Yarrowia lipolytica: one gene and its partner. The protein of the gene in region 1 purifies or fractionates together with the protein of each later gene. This does not show direct contact. Links are inferred from orthologs where the notes say so. Each region holds a gene or a part of one and is shown on either strand. Other genes may lie near its edges.

Region 1 (12,697 bases):
TACGACTTTTCAAGATCGGAGCGCCTGTTCCCAATGTGCGTGTTCACCAGCTGGACGCATCTCTCCTCGACGCCGAGCTCGTCGATCTGCTGAAAAACCAGCTGTTCAAGGGCTTCACAAACTTCCATCCCGAATTCAGAGACAAGTACGAGTCTGAGTTGGTTCTGGCGCTCAAGCTGATTCTCTTCAAGCTGACTGTATGGGATCACGCCATCACCTACGGTGGAAAGCTGCAAAACCTCAAATTCATCGACTCACGACACTCTTCAAAGTTACAGATCCAACCCAGTGTGATCCAGAAACTCGGATACGGCATTCTAGTAGTGGGAGGCGGGTATTTGTGGTCTAAAATCGAGGGCTACCTTTTGGCGCGCTCGGAGGATGACGTGGCGACAGATGGAACCTCTGTGCGTGGAGCCAGTGCGGCTCGAGGCGCTCTCAAGGTGGCCAACTTTGCATCTCTGCTCTACTCGGCAGCCACCCTCGGCAACTTTGTGGCATTTCTGTATACTGGCCGCTACGCTACCGTGATCATGAGACTGCTACGGATCAGATTGGTGCCCTCGCAGCGAACGTCATCTCGACAGGTGTCGTACGAGTTCCAGAACAGACAGCTCGTGTGGAACGCCTTCACCGAGTTTCTCATTTTCATCCTACCGCTGCTTCAGTTGCCCAAACTCAAGCGGCGAATCGAACGCAAGCTGCAGAGTCTCAATGTGACTCGTGTGGGTAACGTGGAGGAGGCTTCTGAGGGCGAGCTGGCCCATCTGCCTCAGAAGACCTGTGCTATTTGTTTCAGGGACGAAGAGGAGCAGGAAGGAGGCGGAGGAGCGTCGCATTACTCGACAGATGTCACAAACCCCTACCAGGCAGACTGCGGACACGTGTACTGCTACGTGTGTCTAGTGACCAAGCTGGCCCAAGGGGACGGAGATGGATGGAACTGCTACCGATGCGCCAAGCAAGTGCAGAAGATGAAGCCCTGGGTGGATGTGGACGAGGCCGCTGTGGTTGGAGCAGCAGAGATGCACGAGAAGGTTGACGTTATTGAGCATGCTGAGGACAATGAACAAGAGGAGGAGGAGTTTGATGATGATGACGAGGACAGCAACTTTCAGCTTATGAAAGATTAAGTAGAGAGGGAGAAATGCATTGTATATTGTACACAAAGTGGTAAGTCCGCTGAATGGTATGTATAACACTTGTAGTCAGCCCTGCCTTGAAAGCTATCTAAGGTGAGTACTGTGTAAGTAGAAGTCCAAGTAATAATATTCTATTTTAAGGATCTGGGGGCCAGAAGTGCTTATGAAGTTGTCGTTAATGAATGTATTATGCAGATATTTTTTTTGAGTACGTACAAGACCGTTGGAATCGTCTCGTTTCGAAACATACAATCATATACTTCCACGTCTTCTATGATTCTATGACAACTTCTGCTCAAACTCTTGGACTCGAGTCTGTACAACTGATGTTTAGTCCACAATGAGAGATGTCTAGTTCCTTATTTTGATGACATATCGTTCATTTATTCGTAAGTAATGTTGTATTAATGCTATACTAGAATGCTATCGTCCTCCGCTAACCCACCAGCGCAGCCTGGTTCTGGTACATTTCGACAATCTGGTCACTGCTGGTGGCATCATGAATACCCTTGTCGTCTCTCACTCGAATGAAACGAGGGAACCGAAGTGAAATACCTCGGTCCATCTGGTCAATGCCAGCTTTGTAAACCGGAGACAGAGACAAGTCGGCCGCCAGAATCTCAATCACAGTAGAAGGATCAAACCACACGTCTGGCAAGTTAGCAGGCGTGGAGTCGTACGAAACATCACTGTGGGGGGTCTCGATCACCGTGGGTTTTAGTTTATCGTACATCTTCTGCAGCATTTCTTCCGAGAAGCCCGTGGCTGTCTTGCAGACTGTCTCGAACTCCTCCGAGTCCTGATTATACACACCCAACAAGAATGCTCCATACCACTGAGACCGTTTGCCCTTGCCAAAGTATCCTCCGAGAATAACAAGGTCCAGAGAGTCGCCAATTCCGTCAATGTAGTCCTTCTTGACCTTGAGCCAGTTTCGCGACCGCTTGGACGGCTCATATCCAGACTCCTTACCCTCCAGAAGCTTCACCATCAGTCCCTCGCACGAGTCCTTGATGGACTGGTCCAGGAATGTCTGAATCTCCTCAACATTGGACGTGTCCATCGACTTGGCAAACAGAAACTCGCCCGGCACCTCAGTGAAGGCCTCCTTGAGTTTCTGACGTCGTTCGGCAAGAGGTAGGGTCAAAAGAGACTCGCCATTGAGGTACAGAATGTCGAATGCGAATATACACACTCTGACAGTAATTTCTTCCTCGTTCACGTTCTTCCGCTTTCGAGTTGACAGAACCTGGAACGGCAGGATTTTGTTTTGCTTTCTATCCCAGGCAACTGCCTCGCAATCGAGAATGAAGGATTTGGCCTCTCCGGCAAACTTGGGAATGATGGAAACCAAGTCAGGGTAACGGACAGTCATATCTTCCGAGTTTCGAGAATACACAAACATTTCCCCGGACTCGGTTTTATGGATCTGAGCTCGTTCTCCGTCGTATTTGTACTCGCAAGTGAATTCTGTGTCTTGGAAGCGATCCAGGACCTCTGAGATAGACTTGGTGGGTTTGGCCAACATAGGCTTGAGAGGAACACCAGTGGAAATCTTGCAAGTTTCAGAAAGGCGCATGATTCCGTTTTCCAGAATGGCGTCGATGATGAGCGCGTAGTTGGGCAGCTGGCAGAACACATCTCGAATCATTTCTTCTCCTGCAGTGATATCATCCGGGTTCACCTTCTTGCCTTTGTTCTCAGCTTCAAAGGTGACAAAGGCTTGAGAAAGCGACACCAGCACCGACTTCTCAGCCAGTCCAATACGCAATTTGCCCTCCAGGCTTCGAATGATAAACTTGGCCTCGTTTCCCTGACAGGCCCCCATCATTCGTTTGATCATGTTGATTTTGGCGTTCTGAGAATCTTTACCTGTTGTCTGGGCGATTTCTCGAAAGGTATCAAAAACGTTGGCAGCCTTGAGAGGTTCGGGCTTAAACATGGCTCGCTGGTTGCTCTTGGACGACTGGGCCACCTTGCCCAGATCACCGAGTTTCTGGTACTCGGTCTTGACGTAGGCAGGCGTTCGTCCGGTACTTTCGGCAATGGATTTCATCAGAAGCGACTCTCCGAGGCCCAATTCGAGACCCTCGTAGTCGGGACCAAGTCGGTTGATGCATAGGTAGACCACAGTGGCCATCATCTGAGGATGGCTCTTGAGAACCGACAAAAACAGAGCGGCACAATGGGCCGTGATTTCCAGCCGTTTAGTAGTCGCTTCGATCTTTTCAAATGTGTCCACAATGGTTCGGTACAGCAACGGGCCATGGGTATGTCCCGATCCTTCCTCAGCTAGTTTCTTGGCTGTTTCAGCACAGACGGTTTTGGTAGACGGTAACGAACTTGTCGATGTAGAAGACTTGAGGAATTGTTTCGAGGCTGACAACTCCTTGTTTGACGACTTTGGTGATTGCTTCTTAGGCGACTTTGGCGACTGCTTGCTGGATGTCTCGGGCTCAGGAGATTTGGTGGTCTTCGTCTCAATCTTCACTTTAGCCACCTTCTTATCCTCCACCTCCTCCGAAGCCTTTCTCTTAGTGCCGAAAAAACTGCGTTAACAATGTGATCCAACCTCGGTCCATCGCTTCGCATACTCACTTTAACGTCTGCTGCTTGGCCATGTTGAATACTACTCGACGCGTTGTCGGGGTGCGAAAAGAGAGAAACATGACGCGACGCGGTTTAATTGTATTTAGCTGCATGGCGTCTGGAGGTGTAAGTGGTAGGGTTAGGGAAGACCATCTGATAGATGGGTGGCGACGGAATCGCTTCCAAGGTAATTGGGAGAGCACGGGTGGGAAAAAAGTCACGTGAAGTGAACAACAGCTCAATGACATTGGTTTTTTAGTGTGTTTCCTGGTTGTTATGGCAGTTGTTTGACTTTTTAGAAAATAATGTGAAGAGCCTCTAACATTAGCTTGCTGGAAAGACAGCTAAGTAAGCTTAATCTTTTTGGAGTAATTATTAAGTAATAGTTCAAGTATTTCTAGTACGGTTTATGGCATGACTATGAATTTTCCAGGATAATATAACAGAAGTATTTTTTATCTTATAGTATTAACAGTATATGCTCTAGCGATGTGATTTCGTCACTCCTACGTTTCTGCGACACCTCGCAGAGAGTTGGCCCTAGTTGGCCAATACGGTGTTGGCAGTTTCTCAACTAAAGCTACTGAATTTGTTGGCGGAGAACCTTGGGCCAGGATGAAGATGGCCTTAGAGACACAGAGGTGGCGATGACATATAAGAATGTGTTGTAAATCATATGGATAGTTTGAGATACTCATATGATTAGTCTACGAGTACTTGTACTTGTATGGCGGGTTTCGAGCAAGTCTCCTTTGTTTCATCATCTTCTGTCTCTCTGTTGTGCAGTCTGAACTGAAGAGTTATAGCACCAAAACATCTCAATGCGAACAGGCACTTTTCTCAGGAACCACACAGGAATCGACCGAAACAAATATTGATTTTTTCTTCATGAACAATACTTCAACAATCAGCGGTCAGTCACTTCATCAGTACAGTACAAGTACCAGTTCTTGTATGTCTACATCTACTGTACACTCTCGCAAAGCTCGCGGTTAGAATGTAGTTGGTTCTTGATGCGATAAATATTATAAATAATGCAAATCTAATCCCTCTGGCTTCGTCTCTTTCTTTCTCTCTGCCGTCGGGCGTTCCTCTCCAGCATCTTCGGGGTGTTAAATAGCTCAAAGATAAATCGCCGCTGAGGAAGCCGATACCGATAAATCTCCAGCAGCTCTACCACCTCCAGAAACAGCGTAAGCGAGTCGAACCGGTCGTGGTACTTCGCGTCCAGCTTGATGAGTGTGCGCGATGCATCGTTGGCCAGAATATGATTACTCAGATTCGACAGCGCCGTCATGATTTTACGTCGGATCGGATCGGACGAAATCTTAGGCAACTCCAGAATGGGAGGCACTGTCTGTGACGTACGAACAACAGTAGATTTCTCCGTAAACAGCCCATCCCACTCATATGGCAAGGCATAGCCCCTGGGATTGCCATAAACGTCAAGCGTGCTGTTCCACCCACACTCGTCGATGATCTCAGAACCGAGGTTCGTAGTACCCATCAAACCAAGCACGTAGAAAGCGGTGCCCTTGAGAGACCACACTGGCGAATGCTTTGCAATGTTAGCCACATCCACTGCGACTCCCGACTGATCCAGGAACGGCGCTCCAAGTTCCGTAGCCCCTACATGGCCAACAGCCCACAAGCAACCCTTAAGCTTGAGCACTGTGTCTCTGTCTTGGGCAGTAAGGCCGTGTTCACGAATGAAATCGGCAAACTCTGTAAAGTGGCCACGCTTCTGCAACAGTTGACAGCCCTCTTCTGTCATGGCCAGCTCGCCGTAGAAATGAGGAGGAGGAGATGCCAGAGCATCGTCCTTGGCGTCCTTCTCTTGTAGATCGAGAACAGTGCCAAATGAGGGGACCATGCACTGCTCAAGATAGTACTCGATTCGACCCACATAGGCCTCATTCTGACCGTGGAACCAGCTGTCCATCTCCAGAGCAACGAAATCCATCTTTTGCAGATATTGGAAACCTGAAGAGGTGCACAGAAATCGCAAGAGCAGAGGAGCTCCAACAGCACCCAGATGATCAAGAGCAGGCCGACATTTGACCACATGTGGCACATTTTCAGTCACAGAGCAATACTCTTGCAAAAGTTGAACAGCAAGCTTGCACACCTCCACATCTGGATCATAAAGCTGGCCCACAAGAAGAGATATGGCCCAGTGGGGACTAGATTGAGGCTGAGTGTAGCCTCCCACATGCAATAGAGATCCCAGACGTTTGGTGGCAAACAGTCTGACGGGAGAAGGACCTGTAGTGAGAGCCTTAGAGAGGATGATCCGGGTATGGTTCGGAATTGTGTAATCTAGCGAACCAATGATCAGAATGAGGAGATCCTGACGTTCATGCACGTCTGTCAAGTGATACAGCATGTTGAACATTCTCCATCGCTCCATCATAGCCAGACCGTTCTTGTCTTGAGAAAGGGTCCCCAACAGCTCAAAGTAGCCGTAGGAAAGTGTGGATTCGAGTCTCTGGGCGGAGAAGAGAGGCTCCAGAGAAATAATTCCGCTCATGGGATCCAATTGAGCCAGACACTCGCCCATTTGCCGTAGTAACTTGTTTTCAGTCAAGTAGTCAACTCCCTCCTGGGTGGCTAACAACGTTTTAAGCAGAGCACAACCGGTCTCCACGTACTTCCGGTTGTATTTGGTCCTTTTGATAGCCGAAAACCGGTACTTGAATGGTCTGTAGAACGACATAAGTCGTTTTGCAAACTTTGAAAAGTGCTTGATAGTGACTTCTTCCAGCCGCTTTGGGTTCAGCAGTGGGCCCTCAATCAACTCCAACAGTACGTTCCAGTTCCATTTGGTGTAGTTTTTTGTCTGCAGCACTCTTGTGTCTGTGATGAGCTGCCGGAAGTGAGCATCATCAATCTGCACACCCATCTGCACCTTGACGGTAGTGGACGAGTTGAGCGCCGCGGTTTTATGCTGGTTACGCGAAATGGCATCAATGCGATGAATGGCACAAATGGCGTTTGCAGCAGCAGCGTTGGGTCCCGAAGACGACTGGACCTGGGCTGAAATAACCAGTGTTTCTAGTCGTTCGATCTCGCTCAAGAGCTCACGTGGGAGCACTTCTCCAGCCAGTTTGTGAAGCTCAGACACTAGAAGGAGAGCCTTTCGAGTACTGGTTTCGTCTTCCTTGGTGGTAATAACCTGCTGGAGCTCCCTGAGAAGCCCCTCCTTGAAGAAGACGGTCAGAAGTAACGCGAGAAAGTGGTTAATGTACCGTGGGCGCCTCCGGTTGTTAGCCTTGGGTTCGATTTTGCCATGAGAAGTGAGCTTCTTGCCTGCCACAAAGCTATGAGACCAAAAGGGGGCTTCTAAGCGAAACAAATCAAACAGAAGCGACAAAACAATGTCTCGAAGAAGAGGCAGCGGCAGGGCCAAGCACTGGATCAAAGCTCGCACCAACGAACTTCCTTCTGAAGACATGAGACCTGCCCAGGACGACAAAACCACACCAATGACCATGCACGAGTTACGCAACGTCTCTGGATTCACGTGACCCTTCTGCTGCACCTCAGTGAGCACGGACACTAGAAACTCCAGATCCTTACCTCCTTGCAAGACGTGACGCGTGGTTGGTGAGTCAAGAGTATAGAGAAGAACTCTGGTAGCTAGAGCTGCAAGCTCAAACGGGCCCTCCACACACAGCGCCAGCAATGGGCGCACTCCTCCTGCTCTATGCACCAGATGTGAATCTAGAACCAGCAGCTCAGCCAATGTCTCTAAAGCCGCCACACGTAGCCTGTCATCAGTCTGTTCTGCAACAGCGACAATAGCTCGCACGACTCCAATGCTGATTTCTGCCACTCCCTGCGGCACGTCTGTGAATGCACGAATAAATTTGAGTGCCTGCAGCCGCTCAAAATGACACCTGTTGTCCCGTGCCAAACTGCGAATCACAAACAGATCTGTCTGAAACCCCCGGGCTGTCTTCAACGAGTAAATGTCCGTGAGAGCATGACGTGCCACTCTGTACCCTGCCGCCACCACCTCTGTGCGTTTGTGTAACAGCAGCCGCTGTATCCGGTCGCCCACATGCGACAAGACCAGATCGTACTTTTGCAGGGGGTATCTTGTGAAGACCCTCACCAGCTCGTTGCACTTGGTCACGAGGTCGTCGGCATTGACCGCCGGGTCGTCCAACGCCTGCACAATGTTGCTGATGAGCCACGACGGGCTCTCATTGTTGGTGTCGTCTGTATCCATGCCGTCTCCTCCTCCATTCATGTGGTTGTTGGTGTGAATGTGATTTTGCTGATGAATACCCCGTATCGGCACATCATGGCCGACCGGAACCTCGCGCAATTGTTCGTTCAAAAGCGCTATCCGAGCCACACTGGCATTGAGCTCACTCTCCACCCGCGACCGCATTCCCTCCCGAGTAGTGTCCGTCTTGGACTTCTCCTTCTTGTCCAGCACCTGCAGCATGTTTTCCGCGCCATCTTTGATTTTCGCCTCGATCTCCAGCTTGTCCAGCAGCTCCATCCGCCACTGCTTGTCCGTCAGATGTGGCGGCTTCATGTTGGCTGTTGGTCCGTCTAGCTGTGTGCGCGATACTGGAGCTGGAGCTATGGTTTAGGTGCGTAGTGGGTATGCAGGGTCACGTGAGAGGGAAAAGGAGGAGGGGCAGATTACTGGGCATTGGCGGAGCGATGGACGCTTGCAAAAACCTGGGGCTAATCCGGGGAGACTTGTTTGTTCATATTTGGGGCCTTTAAACAGGCACTTATCACCGCAACAACCATACAAGTGTTCTAACAGCTCTCTCCTCTTCATCATTATACATGTTTGGGGGAGGTGGGAATGATGACGCACATGACGTCAAAATAACATTGGGAGGATTGGGGATTGGGTGGTGCAGACTGTCTGTTTTGAGAGCATTTCAGAGAGATTTGACCTACGACAAAAATCGATTGTAACTGTAGAAAATGACGACAAAGGTTGCCAGAATGTATTTAATGGGCTAGCCAACCGTTAGTCACGTGATAATCCGTCAATTTCTGGTCTATTGATAGCACATTTAGCTGATCTGTGGTGCTCGCACTGTCCATCCATCCATGCCCATGTCCAAATTTAAATTCCTCAAACCAGCCCAAAAAGACGCCCCTTATTTTGCGACGTGTAAATCCGGGGTACAAGTACTGTAATTACGTTGTAAGCGTATGGCAGAATGTGTGAAGGACATTGAATCACGTGATAAATAACCGATGGTGACGCTTGGCTGAGTGTGTGGGCTCTTTAGTGACGACAGTAGCAAATTAAAACTCAAAGTATTTAGTTGACTTTATTCAAACCGATAGTTGATACAGATCACTTTATTAGTTAACACGATTACTGAAGACACTTGCATTATCCATGCACTCAAGTCATGGGGTGCGGGTTCAAGTTCCGTTCTGGGGCACGGCAGGATCCGATTGTGATTACACGGAGGCTCTGTGGCACAATGCAATCTGTCGTATACTGTGGCTACGTTCACGGATTTCAGAAAAAAACTTGTTAATTGTGGCTTTGGATCTCAGCCACGAATTGTCAATGTCAAGGTTGCATAGAATGAAGAAGGGAGATCGTGCCAAGTGATTGAGGGTAGTAGGGACCACAGTGGAAAAACAGAAACATTTCTAGTACTTGATTTATGAGTTTTTGATCCTTTTGGTCCCCTAGACAGCCAATTGCGTCAGTTGGTAGACTTCAGACTCCCGCTACAAGCACGGGTGTCTCACGAAGCTACTGGACTTTAGCATGTCAATAGACAATGTGTAACTTCCGGAGATCAGCTCTACAACCAAATGATGACACCTTGAGCCTCTAACTCGTCCACAGAACTTTTCCGATAAGACCTGGCTTCTCTAGCTATATATAATTGAAGACATGCACTTTAGTATGTATACGAGAGCCTTACTACCACGACCCACCATGTCAGAACTCGAAAAACAAGTCCCCGACTCATATTACAACGACTCGGAGATTCTTGCTACCATTGGATACAAGCCCGAGTTGAAACGCAACTTCTCCACTGTTCAAGTGTTTGGAATTGCGTTTTCACTCATGGGCCTGATCCCCTCCATAGCCTCAACCATCTCTTTCTCTCTCCAGGCTGGCCCATACGGAATGGTGTGGGGTTGGTTTACCTGTTCGGTATGCATCATGACAGTCGGACTGGCTCTAGCAGAACTCGGCTCCTCTCTACCAACTTCAGGAGGCCTATACTGGTGGTCGTACTATTTTGCTCCTGGGAAGGCAAAACGGCCCCTGAGCTTTCTCGCAGGCTACAGCAGCTTCCTGGGCCTCACTGGAGGCCTCATGTCCATTGATTATGGATTTGCTCAAATGCTGGTCAGTATGATCATTGTGGCTACAGACGGCCAGTGGAATCCAAGTGCCTACGTGCTTTACGGCATTTTTGCAGCCTGCGTAGTATCTCATGCTTGCGTGGGGTCCATGGGAACCAGACATATGGCTAGGCTACAGACCGTGTGTATCTATGGTAATGTCGCTATCGCTCTAGTTTTAATCATAGCACTTCCCATAGGCGCGCGAAACCATCTCAACTCCGCTTCTTACATGTTTGGACAAATTGAAAACACCACCGACGGATGGCCCACCGCCTGGGTCTTCTTTCTGGGCTGGCTAGCTCCCTCGTGGACCATTGGAGGATTCGACTCGTGTGTTCACATGTCAGAAGAGGCTTCAAATGCTACCAAGGCAGTGCCATTTGGAATCATTGCGTCTATCAGTGTAGGCTGGATTCTGGGGTTTGTTGTCGTCATTGTCCTGGTTGCAGTTATGCCCCACGATGTCAAGCCTCTTCTTGAGACAGTCTATCAGCAACCTTTTGCTCAATTGGTGTATGATACTCTGGGAAAGAAATGGACAATTGGAGTCATGACGGCCATCTTCATCCTACAATGGACTATGGGGTTGTCCAGTGTCACTTCTGCATCGAGACAAGCCTGGGCTTTTTCAAGAGACGGGGCTCTGCAATTCTCCGACTTCTTTAAAGTGGTCAACCAAAAGTACTCCAACCCAATCAGATGTGTCTGGGGCAGTGCCCTGTTGGCTCTGTGTATCGGATGTCTGTGTATGATCAACGCGGCGGCTGCTCAGGCGTTGTTTTCGCTGGCAGCAGGAGGAACTTCTTTGGGATGGCTGATTCCAATTTCTCTGAAGTTGCTGTATGGTAAGAACCGGTTCGTTCCAGGCCCCTTCTATCTCGGAAGATTTCCTTCCAAGCTGATTGGGGGCTTTGCCAGCGTCTTTCTGATGTTCAGTCTAGTACTGATCCAGTTCCCACAGACTACTGCCCATCCTACTAAGGATACAATGAATTACACCTGTGTCATTGTAGCTGTGGTCTGGGGAGGGTGTTTGATGTACTATTATCTGTTTGCTTACAGATGGTACACTGGTCCGAAAACGACGCTGGAGGGGGCAGTTGTTGAGTTTGAAGGAGTAGCAGACGAGCACACTGGAAAGTCTCGTACAAGTAGTAGTAGCGAGAAAGGGATTAGTATTTAACTATACTCCAAATATTAGTTGAATTAGATATTGTACTGTACTTGAAAAAACACAGACTCCAATGAAGGGGAACTACAATAGGGGGCTCCTCTTGACGTCTTAAACATGTATCATGGACGATCAAACGATCCTATTGTAAGCGCTTTGGTTATCTCTGTGCTTTATATAGCTCCCATACATCGCAATCACAACACTTTCTCTTCGGTGACATATCTAAAACAGGAACAGTTTAAGCTGAGAGGGAGTGTCTGTATCGTGTTGTACTTTAACAAGCGATACGTCATTTTTCCCTTTTTCTAAATCACGTCAAATACACACATTCTAAAGTCATCATCTACAGTACAGTTATACGTGCAACACGCCATCTCTCTACCAAATGGGTCGAAAACTCCACCCCGTCACGTGCCTCGATTTGGTACAATATCCTCTCCAAGAACGCGAGTTTCTTTTAGTCAGCAAATGCGACCGACAAGCCATGGGTATACAGAACCCACTCCACTTTCTGCTGAGATGGAAGGTGTTCCAAACGGCCTTTTTTGAAGCCCGAAGTAAGGGACACTCGTTCGTGTTACTTAAGCTACCTCATTCAACTTTGGTGTTCATTACTCAGCACTTTTACGACGCGGAGCCAGAGATGGACCACTCGGAAGCTGTTAATTTGATAACCTACTACGAGCATCATAAGATATTTGTGTTGCGTCAACTAGCAACTCAGTACCTCGATACGAACCCAATGGACATCCACCAGACAGTAGCCATGTGGCGGTTGGGCTTCAAGGAGAAGAGTGTACGTGCTAAGAACTACGCCTCCAGACACATGCGAGAGATACGAGATACTTCCGAAGAGCACGATGCCGCTCTTGGTGAAGCCATGTCTCATCTGGAGGCCCAAGAGTTGCGTTCCTTGGTGAATGAATTGTGGCTATCCTCTCCAATTGTGGATGACTAGAGGAGACAGGTACTGTACTTGTACTACACAGTATGTTGGTTGCTCAAAGATATTGGGATGGTACCTTGACCTCTTCACATCGTGGCTACTTGTAACAAATGAAGAAGTGGTGATCCTTTCAGCTACTGTAGCGAGAGATAAAACGGTAAACATGTGTATGGATCCAAATTATTGAAATGTATTTCTGCTACAATTGATGATACAAAAATTGAGGTGTTGGGGGTGGAATTTGTGGATTCAGGACGCTTTTCCAACCTTGCGTAGTTCTGTCACTAAAGTGAACTAAAAATACAACTACACACACTTCACCGGAGTTGCCCAAATTCAACATTCTTAATAATAGTAAATGTAAGACAAACATTTTTTGATAAATTATTTTAGTCTTTTTTTTTAAAAACAATTCTGTTGCCCAAATGGACTCTTTTACCAAGCAGTGAGGTTCTTAAAACGTCAGAATTTTGTTTTTTTCCGAAA
Region 2 (10,503 bases), on another chromosome or scaffold:
CGTTGTCGCCGTTGAAGGTGGTGATCTCGATGGAGTAGTCGGAGCCGGCCTCAAGGTCGTAGGGGACGGGCCAGGTGAACTTTCCGTCGTTGGCCTGTCCGGGAGCGATATCAAGAACCTTCTGTCCGTCCTTCACCAGAGACAGGGTGATGGCCTGGATGGCGGGGTCGGCCACCCAGGTGATGTAGAAGTTCTCACCGGGAGAAATCTTGGTGTTGGCGCCGGGAGACGAGATGGGGTTCTGGCCATCGGCCTTCTTGTTGTCCTGGGCAGCGGCCAGAGCGGCGAGAGAAACGAGGGCGATTCGGGCGAACTTCATGGTTTGATTTTGTCTTGGGTCTTCTTCTTTTTGGGGGGGTGAAAGAGTACTACAAAGGTGTCTGAGAGCTGCAAGCTGGGATGGCCGCCTTATTATATACTCGGCATAGTGGGGGGGGCACCACAAGTCGTGGCCCATTACCTGGTGCTCGTGCATATTGCATAATTAGACATGCATGCGGGGAAGCGTTGTGTGAGGTGAGAAAAAAGAGTTGATGGAGAAGGTAATCTGGAAGTTTGAGGGCGTAGAGGGGGCTATTTCGGGCGCGGGTTTCGGCTCCTCGGCGAGTTGGACCGATTGAGGCCGATCCCATGGTATTTTCCCCGGTTGCCAAGCCGCAAACACCCCTTTTATTGCACTGTACACATGGCAGTGGGCCCCCTAATTAGTCGGTCACAAATAGCGACCTGATACATGCATGTAGCCTAATTTGGCAACTGAAAATCATGCTTGGTCACGAACCAACGCTAGGAGAAGGATATGGAGCAGTTCCGGGGCGTGTTTGGGGCCGTCCGGTACCACTGAGAGCGGCGCGTAATCGCCTGGAAATCTCACATACACGTTAATCTCGTAATATCGCCACAAACGTGTGTCGCTCGGCTCTTGGCGCGTGGCTGGGTGCTCGGCGTCTAAAAATAGAGCTGCAGTTAGCGAGCAGGTCTTGGAAAAGTCTAAATTTTAATAATGCGTCCGATGTTAATTGATTTCTGAAAATGCACGTTGGCGGACCCGAGCCAGGAATAGAATGACGTGGGCTGTGGTGGATTTTGGAGATGGAGTTGTTGGGCGGTCACAGCAGCAGCAGATACCGCATCTGTCGGGTCTGTCGCTGCGATGACCCACCTGCGTCAGTCAGGCTGTCAACTGACCCGACCCTGCGGGAGGCTGAGGCGGGTATCTTCTCTGTCTGAGGGCAGTTATAGCCAGACAGGGTAGGTTGAAAGCAGATTGAGCAAGTCCAAAAATAGTGCTGTGCACGCCCTCTGCTCTCACGGTACGGTGGGAGAGAGTTTTGCTTATTTCGAGGCCGTGGTTAAAAATGGTTGTCTGAAGGGTGATATGGTGGGCTGAGTTTGATTTCTCGTTTTGAATCTGGTACGAAATAGTCACGGAACTCAGATCCGGCCCTCTGCGAAGGTCTGAGTCTGGTTGGAGAGCAATTGCGACCTGAAACGCCAATTGGGGGGGGTCCACAGACGACCGGCGCCATTTGTATCAGTCTTGGACCTTGGGACACTGTTAAGTCCGGCTCCAGTACAGTCTGTACTAGTGCTGGTAGTCTATAGGCCGTATAACGTGGACAGCAACTAGCTGTTTGGAGGTCCAACATATCTCTGGAGTTTGTGGCCAGCTGCAGGATGCCGTGTGCGACATGTGACTTGACGAATTCGGGCTCTTTGCGTCGAATCTGGAGTGTATTCAACGATACTGCTGTAAGCGGATACTGGTACCGTATGTACCGTTCTCGTACCAGTTCAAAGTGGGGAGAAAGACCCTAAACGAGGCCAACCCCAACCCATTCCACCATTGTCGCTGACGATGGTCAAGTCCCGCGATTTGGCCGACGAAGCCTTGCTCCACAGAGCCGATGCTATAACCCCCTATTTGCCTAACCTCCTTTCCGGTTCCGTCATTAGCGCCGTGGAAGCTAATCATTCACAATCCCATTGTTGTACAGTGTGTATGCACCATCTGACTGCCGATACAGGGCAATTAATTGGCTAGCGGCAATGGTGCGAAAAACTCGGAAAAAAACAAAGAAGAAAATAGAAAATCTACCATTGTGGGTAAGTAAAAGCAGTAGTTTCTACAGTGCAAATATCGACTGTATTGAGCGTTTGAGAACAGGTTTGAAGTGTGCACTTTTTTGTACAGTAGGTACTTGCACCAGAAATCTGTAGCTTATCAGATCATGAATCTCTTTCATACATCTCACTCACTCAACAGATTGAGCAGCTACAGTGTGTGCCGAGTAGCCATTGGTCCATGCTGTCGGTGTCGGTGCTACTTGTTTCGGAGTGTTTTTTTATATATATATTTACGCCCTTCGCCCCCCTCACGCCCAGATAATACCATTGTTGTGAGCTCGGGTAGCACAGTGAGTATTTTTCCACCGTATCCTAGCAACAGACTGTAATAGGCCCCATGATATCTTGTTTACAGGCCACTCTGTCTCCACCACCTCTCAACCACTCTTCTACACTTGCTCAACACTCACCTGGACACTACTTGTACCTAAGTAGCTAACACACACACACACACCAACGATACACGTGATCTTCTAGTTGAAGCTACAAGTAGTGCGCCTTATCGTGACCTTGTGTTTGTGTCTCCTCCCCGCACTCTGGACACCTTACACGGCCACAGACTCATATCATAGTCTTCTGATACCTAACCACACAAACTGCACCATACCCTTCGGAACCGCATCATTTCCGACACCCTTCGCTGATACCACCTAGATACCATTCGGATACCCCCCGGATACTACACAGATACCACCCGATACCACATAACACACACAACCCAATCAAACACCAACGTTGGTAGCCCTGTGCCCAATGGCACCTCTAAAAATCTTCAAGGCTGGGGAAGGACCCGCCAAACGAGGGCTTGTGTCGTGCTCTTATTACTCCACAGGAGATGTCATTTGCTCGTTTGAACCTGCCGTCAACGTCCCTCTCTCCGGACGACTTCTGGTAGGTGGAGACGCAGACGGAACTATCGAGGTGGAGCAGGAGGCACGTCTCGACCCCACTACAGGCGTTTGTGCCTTTTGTCTTGAAACATACCCCGCCAGAAACATCACCATTTGTCAGGACTGCAAGCTCATGTCCTATTGCTCGCAGAGGTGTCTCGAAGCGGACACCTTGCATTCTCCCGAATGTACAGATCTCTGTGGGCCCCAAAAACTGATCATGTCCGGATTCCTACGTGCTCTGTACCGGATTTTATGCATGGCAGAGCAGCCCCGTCCTCGCAACACTTACGCCCAGCTCACCCACCACACCACCGATACCTCCTGGCCTGCCATGGATACCCTTCGAATGGCAGCTGAAGCTCTGGTCTCCAGAAACGCCTCTCGCGGTCACCCGCTTGAACAGATTCTTGAGTACGCAGGTATGCTCTTCGTCAACCAATACACTCGATGTGACGATCTAGGGCGACAGGGAGGGTACATCTTCGATCCTACTCTTGCTCTGATCAACCACAGCTGTGTTCCCAACGCGTACTTGCTCTTTAGAGGCAGAAAGGTACATCTCGTGTGCTGGAAACCTATTAACGACGGCGACGAAGTGTTCCTATCGTACACCCGGTTCATGCACCCTACCCCGGAACGGCGTACTCTGTTGTATATGCATTTCCGCTTCTGGTGCGAGTGCCCAGGTTGTGTGTCGCAGGAGCTGGAGTACCCTTACAGTCACGTCGTGTGCACCCAGTGCGGGACTGGAGTCAACAGAGATCCGTTCACATTGCTGAATCCTCCTACTTTGGATCAATGTCTCAGGCACCTGATGGATGGTGTCACCGAGGCCATTTCTGTGCGGAACTCCGTCGATCTCTTGCCTTCGGCACGTTTGCTTGTCTGCGAATGTGAGAACAAGGTGTCTGGAGACGTCATCCAGGCCATGTTGACATTGATGACCCATTCGGTGGAGTATTTTGATAACGCCAACTTCAAAAAGGTCCTGGGCATGGTTCTTGCTCACGTTTGCACTCTTGAGGGTAATGCTAAGACGGAAAAGTGTCTGACAGTTGTCGAAGAAGTGACCCAATCCAAGTTGCTTACCATGCAACTATGTCTTCGATTGATGGTTCAGGCACAAGTTCTACCTATTGATTCTCATATCATGACCTTTTTGGTGACGCTAAGAAACCTACATCAACTTCAAGACGAAGCAGAGATCCCCGATTGGGAGCGACTGCCTCACTTGAAGTCCACCATTGCCGTAGCACTATTGGAGGCGTTGGTGGAGTTGCGGTACTGCAGAGTTCAGATGTCGTCATACAACCCCGTTGTTTCCATCAGCCTTTTTATGCTCGGCAACTACCTGCGAATTCTTGCCGGTGATATTGCTGAGTCCAGGGAGAACGACTTCCTTTCGGACGACGATTTGGAGTCCATTGTGAATCTCGCCTACGCCTTTTTTTCGTCTGCTCACGAGAATCTCAGCTTCACACATCCTGCAAGCCCCTACGTTGAGCAGACCATGATCTGTGGCGATCTTGTGAGAAAGGACCATGACAATCTGGAGCTTGACGCGAATCTCGTGGTCAGTAAGCATGGTCTTGACCACGACATGTCTGTTCTGTGCGGCTTCCTCTACGAATATCTTGCTCATGACGGGCTTCTTGCTGACGGATCTTTCCCCCAGTCCATCCATATTTTGGATGTGAGTCCTGAGGTGGAAATGATCAAGGGCAAACTGGAGTTTTGGTACCGCCCCATGTCTTCTCCTCCTGTTACTGTGTGATTAAAGCACATGAAGATGAAAGATATACATAGATATATAATAAAATACATAAGCTGGTTAGTAGACTAAACATCATTGAGGGCGACCGAAAGTGCGCCCTTGTGGTGGCCACTGTATTGTCTGATGATTTGCCCAGATGCCAATTCCCACAGCCGCACGTAATGGTCTGAGCTTGCGGTGACAAGGTATGCCGAGTCAGCACTGAATGCGCAATCCCACACCCATCGCTGGTGTCCTGTGAGAGTAGTTTCCAACGAGAATCCATTTTTGATGGACCAGATTCGGGCCGTGTTATCTGCGGAGCAGGTGGCCAGGTGCTTGACGTCTGGAGATAGCAGCACCTTGGTGATATACTTTGAGTGAGATCTGAATTTGGTAATGGGATGCAGAGAAGTCACGTCGCGGGTGTTGTGCATTTTCCACACGTAGCAGTTGCCCTTGTTATTTCCGGCCACCAACATTGATCCATCCGACGCCACAGACACTGATCGTACAGGCACGTCTTCTTCGGGGATCAGTTGGTGAGTGCATGTGTTTTCGCCGAGGTCCCAGATTCGAATGTTTCCCTCCTGGTCGCACGAGATGATTTCTCCTTGGTTGGGGTGGATCACCACATCGTTAACGGGGCATCTATGCTTGTAGTTTCTCTGGACTGTGGCGGTCCGCATATCCCAGACCTTGACTGTTCCATCTTCCGACGAAGTGACCATCCATTTGCCATCGTACTGGAATGCCAATGCCGTCACGTTGCCTGTGTGTCCCTCAAAGGTCATGACCGCCTTGGGGTTGTTACTTCGAATGTCGTACAGCCGCACTGTGTTGCCTCCTGCTGCTGCCAGATACCTCTTGTCTGGCGTGATTGCCAGTCTGTTGACCTGCGAATCAGGATGCTGGATGGTTCGCGAGCAGATTCCACTCAATGCCTCCCAGAACTTGATGGTGTTATCGTAACTCGACGAGCACAAAATCACAGACATGTCCGACTCGGCTGCCGCGGCCTGCTGCTGGGGTTGGACCTGGCCCTGGGGCTGCGCCGGTGGCTGCTGAGGCTGCGCGGATGCTTGATTTGTTTCCGAACCCATGGATTCAACCTGTTTCGTGCTGCTCGAGATATCACGGACTAAACGGCATATTGGGAGCGGCGAGATTAAGCTATGGTCACGTGAGGTGGACCTCTCTCTTCCCCCCCCCCCAGAAATCAGCCAAATCAGGACTACCCTAACCCTGATAAAAAATATGGAAATTCGAAGGTACTCATTTGAGATCGTCAATTGAGGAAAATTGGGTCTGTTTAGCGGCCAGAGCGATCCATTGGCTGAGTTTGCGGGTTTTTCCGTGGATTTTTTTCGTCTTTTTTTTTTGGCCTTGCGCGGTTCATGTATTAATATTGCCCTGCCTGACACACACGCCTGCAAGTACAGTAGCTACGCTACGTACACTTTAACACCGAGAGGAGGAGGTATGGGTGGCGAGGGGAACGCTCAATTGGTAAGAATTTCTCTCTACGTGCGCGCGCTCCGACATCCTGTCTGTCACGTGACTTTTCCCTCTTTTTTCTGTAGCTATTCTATTGCGCTAAGTATATATATATCACACTCACAGCCAAACTGCCGCCTTGGAATTTAGCTCTGTCGTGGTCCCAATTGCCAACCTTATCGCGGCGAAGACGCTGGAAGGTTCACAACCAATCTCGAAGGCTCCAGAAGAGTCGAGTGCGAATAGGCTCTGAGCAATACTTAAGGCGGGTGGTCAGCACTTTTTTTGCGGGCTCTTGTAACGCACGACATAGGTTACTACACCCATACATTTTCACAAGCGATACTATGGTGAAAGAAACAAAGCTCTACGACGACCTCGGGGTGTCTTCTGGCGCCAGCGAGGCGGACATCAAAAAGGCGTACCGAAAGGCTGCTCTCAAGTACCATCCTGACAAGCCCGGAGGAAATGAGGAGAAGTTCAAGCAGATTTCCGAGGCGTACGACATTCTGTCAGACAAGGAGAAGCGAGAGCTCTACGACCAGTATGGTCTAGAGGCTGCTCGAAAAGGAGGAGTTCCCATGCCCGAACCCGGCCAAGGAGGCGGGTTTCCGGGCGGAGGCGGGTTTCCCGGCGGCGCCGGAGGTTTCCCCGGAGGTGGCTTCTCTAGTGGAGGAGGCGGTGGTGGCCCTCAGACTTTCCACTTCTCTTCTGGTGGCGGTGGTCCGGGTGGCTTCGGTGGTTTCTCGTCTGGCGACGCCTTCAACATCTTCAACTCATTCGGACAGCAGGGCGGATTCGACGATGAGGGAGACGACTACGGAGGATTCGCCAACCTCTTTGGCGGACGTGCTGGCCGCCGTGCAGGAGGCATGGGTGGCGGCATGGGCGGTATGGGAGGCATGCCGCGCCAGAGGGCCCGATCGCCCGAGCGAACACAGGTGACAGTCAAGATGCCCGTGTCTTTGGAGGACCTGTGCACCGGTGCCACCAAGAAAATGAAGATCACCCGAAAGGGCCCCAGTGGCCAGCCCGAAGAGAAGGTGCTGACCGTCAACATCAAGCCCGGCTGGAAGGCAGGCACCAAGCTCACCTTTGCTGGCGAGGGAGACTCTCAGCCCAACGGTGGCCAGCAGGATGTGGTGTTTGTCATTGAGCAGAAGCCCAACCCCGTGTTTACTCGAGACGGTGATGATCTCAAAATGTCCATCAAGCTGTCTCTCAAGGAGGCTCTGTGTGGATTCACCAAGATCATTGAGACCCTGGAGGGCAAGAAGCTCAAGATTGAGCAGCGTCTGCCCATCAACCCCGGCCACATTATCACCTACCCCAACTATGGTATGCCCATTTCCAAGAAGCCTGGTGAGCGTGGTCAGTTGATCATCACCATCAAGGTGGACTTCCCCAGCTCGTTGACCGACGCCCAGCGAAAGGCCATTGAGGACAACTTTTAATAGACTAACTTATTGTACATAGAGTGCAAGAGCATTCACATGTAAGAATTAATAAATGATAGCATGATCATGGAGACAATTGTACGTGTGCATGAACAACTCATTACTGCAGCCTTAGTGCAACTCTAAGGATGATTTAGTTGGTGAGGTTTGGCGGGTGTAAAGAGGACATGGAGGTGTTTATAGGGATCAGGGGGAGGTTTGGAGGGTAGGAAAACATGTAGAATGTCTTTTAACGTCCAATTGAGCTGATGGGACTTCTGAGCGCCTTCATTTGGGGCTTCTGACGGCTCTGCTGAAGAAGTTGGTATTGTGCTGTCGACGACATTTTGAAGGCTTTTTAGCATAATTAGCAAACTAAATGTGCAATCGACGTGGGCAGATAAGCGGTGACGTTTGGAGGGCATTTTTCATGTACATGTACAATCACGTCGACGGCCCGTCAAGTGTTCAGAGGGATTATCGTCTTGTACGAGGCATGTGGGTTCTGGATGTGGGTTCTGGAACATTCTAGAATCTGTCGAGTTGAACGAATCTGTCGAGTTCAGCGAATCTGTCGAGTTCAGCGAATCTGTCGAATTCAACAGAAGAGCATTGTGACACAACTTCTTGCAAGCTGATGTGTGATTTGACGACGAGTGGCTGTTTGCATTGGTGTACTAGGGATGTTTGTACATTGTGCTTTACGGTACGAGTACGAGTAGTGTAGTTATGAGAACTTTTTTCATCGACTTTACATCTCCTACAGAACTGAGGTCAAGAAGATGGGTTGGTTAGAGTGGGAAATAGAGGTTCATCTTCAGGTGGTGGTCGTGGACGCATCTTCAGGTCGTAGAGACATCTTAACATCACGAAGATACAGTAGTTATTGCTGGTACGCACCTGTACCGATACTAGAAGCCTGTGCTCTGAGCTCGTCCAAGTGGGCTGTGAACATGCCTCCGGAGAGGGAGCTTGGGTGACAATTACTGTTACAGCCGAGCCAGTTGACCAAGTAGCCTCCGTACTTACCAACGTTGTCTCATTTGATCAGGGAGGCGACGCAGGTGTTGCGAATCCATCGGGTGTGCTCCTCGAGCGACAACGCTGGTCGGAAGCCATGTCGCCACAGCGCTTGAAGTTTTTCACATGGCTGAAGTTCTTCAGGCTGACGGTCAAGGGAAATGCCACGCTCATCCAGAGCTTGGAGCCACTCGGGGTCGATATCCGGGTAGCCCGATAGATGGTCAATCTGAGTACGTAAGTTGGATGGAACGAAGAAGCCTTTGACCAGCTTCTTGGCCCAGGTTGGTTGGCCATAACTTCTCTGTTGTTTACACTGCCATGCTCTCCGTGAAACCGCCTTCTGTTAACAGTTGGGTATTCAATCAGACGGTATTCAAGGGGTGTCACATCATCAACTGTACGCATACTCGCAGTCAACTTTCTCAACATGATTTTTTCGTCCACATACCACCTCTTGTCTCTGTAGGCCTCATACCGCGTGATGAGCCTAGCTTCAATACAGAACCAGAATCCATACAAATCTTAGCCATCTTCTACTGCCACTCTTCTTTAGTATTCACACTGACAATCTACCCTTCCACTCTTCAGTCCAAGCCACTTTGCACCTTTTTGTCGGAACCAAATAATAACATAATTTACATGCAGACACTAATCCTTGCTCTTCTTCTTCTTCTTCTTCTTCTCGCCCTCGTCGTCGGAGTCCTCGGCCTTTCGCTTCTTCTCCTTCTTCTCCTTCTTTTCCTTCTTTTCCTTCTTGTCCTTCTTGTCCTTCTTTTCCTTCTTCTTCTCCTTCTTGTCCTCCTCCTCATCGTCAGAGTCGGCGGCCATGGAGACATCAGCCTCGACCTCCTTCTTGGGGGCCTCGACAGCAATGGTCTCGGTCACAGAAGCGACAACGGGCTTGGTGACGGGCTCGTCCTCAGTGTGGTCCACGTAGCTCTTCTTCCAATCGGCAGGAGTGCTCTCGTTGGGTCGACCGTACTTGTCGAGCTTACCGTCGGCCTTGAGCTTCTTCTTCTCGGTAGCAACGGGTCCCAATCCCCATCGTCGGGGGTAGGTGTCTCGCTCCATGATGCATCGCTTGATTCGAGACACGACACCGTGGTCGCAGGAAGCAAGGTCGACGGTGGTCATCTGGGCAATACCAAGAGCAATGGCCTCACCCTTGGTGGTGATGAGCACAATCTCGTCCTCCAGCTCAATGCCCTCCTCGTATCGGAGAACACCGGGAAGCATGAGCTTGGCGCCGTAACAGATGGAGTTGACGGCGGAGTCCTTGACTACAATTCGCTTGTAGCCGAGCAGCAGAGACTCAAGGGGTCGGATGCATCGTCGCAGGTACGACTCGTCCTTGGTGTTGTCGTAGAGCCACTGGGCATCGAGAATGTCGTGCAAGGTGACCATTCCGTCGGACTCGTCGAGAGCACCGGATCGCACTCGTCGCAGCTCCTGCATGTGGCCTCCAACACCGAGCAGCATACCCAGATGCACACACAGGGTTCGCATGTAGGTACCGGCCTCACAGGAGGCCCAGAAGACACCGAGGTGTCGGTCGTTGTCAAACTCAAGCAGCTTGGAGTCGTAGATGGTTCGGACTCGCAGCTGTCGCTTGACGGCGGAAATGAGAGGAGGTCGCTGGAACAGGGCTCCAGTGAGGTTCTCGAGGCCACGGGCCATCTCCTTCTCGTCCTCAAGAGCATCGTGGAGTCGCACGATACACACGTACTCCTTTCCGGCTCCCTGCTGGGACTTGACCAGACGGGTGGCTCGGTCG

Evidence for each region.
Region 2: the proteins of YALI1_F01742g (region 1) and YALI1_E16501g purify together in Saccharomyces cerevisiae (affinity purification with western blotting; 4 studies listed by BioGRID, with this or other methods). This does not show direct contact. The link is inferred for Yarrowia lipolytica from reciprocal best matches to the Saccharomyces cerevisiae genes TSC11 and LST8.

The regions. Positions count from the first base shown.
Region 1 is NC_090775.1:165,924-178,620, forward strand, and holds YALI1_F01742g (uncharacterized protein), read right to left. Parts: upstream 8,281-12,697; coding exon 4,774-8,280; downstream 1-4,773. Other genes in the region: YALI1_F01659g (uncharacterized protein), read left to right, coding at 1-1,133; YALI1_F01696g (uncharacterized protein), read right to left, coding at 1,579-3,691, 3,741-3,844; YALI1_F01755g (uncharacterized protein), read left to right, coding at 9,673-11,109, 11,990-12,223. UniProt on the Saccharomyces cerevisiae protein: Essential component of TORC2, which regulates cell cycle-dependent polarization of the actin-cytoskeleton and cell wall integrity.
Region 2 is NC_090774.1:1,645,459-1,655,961, reverse strand, and holds YALI1_E16501g (uncharacterized protein), read right to left. Parts: upstream 5,877-10,503; coding exon 4,860-5,876; downstream 1-4,859. Other genes in the region: YALI1_E16556g (uncharacterized protein), read right to left, coding at 1-319; YALI1_E16544g (uncharacterized protein), read right to left, coding at 1,172-1,464, 1,514-1,529; YALI1_E16531g (uncharacterized protein), read left to right, coding at 2,881-4,794; YALI1_E16493g (uncharacterized protein), read left to right, coding at 6,618-7,724; YALI1_E16451g (uncharacterized protein), read right to left, coding at 9,378-10,503. UniProt on the Saccharomyces cerevisiae protein: Essential component of both TORC1 and TORC2. TORC1 regulates multiple cellular processes to control cell growth in response to environmental signals. Nutrient limitation and environmental stress signals cause inactivation of TORC1.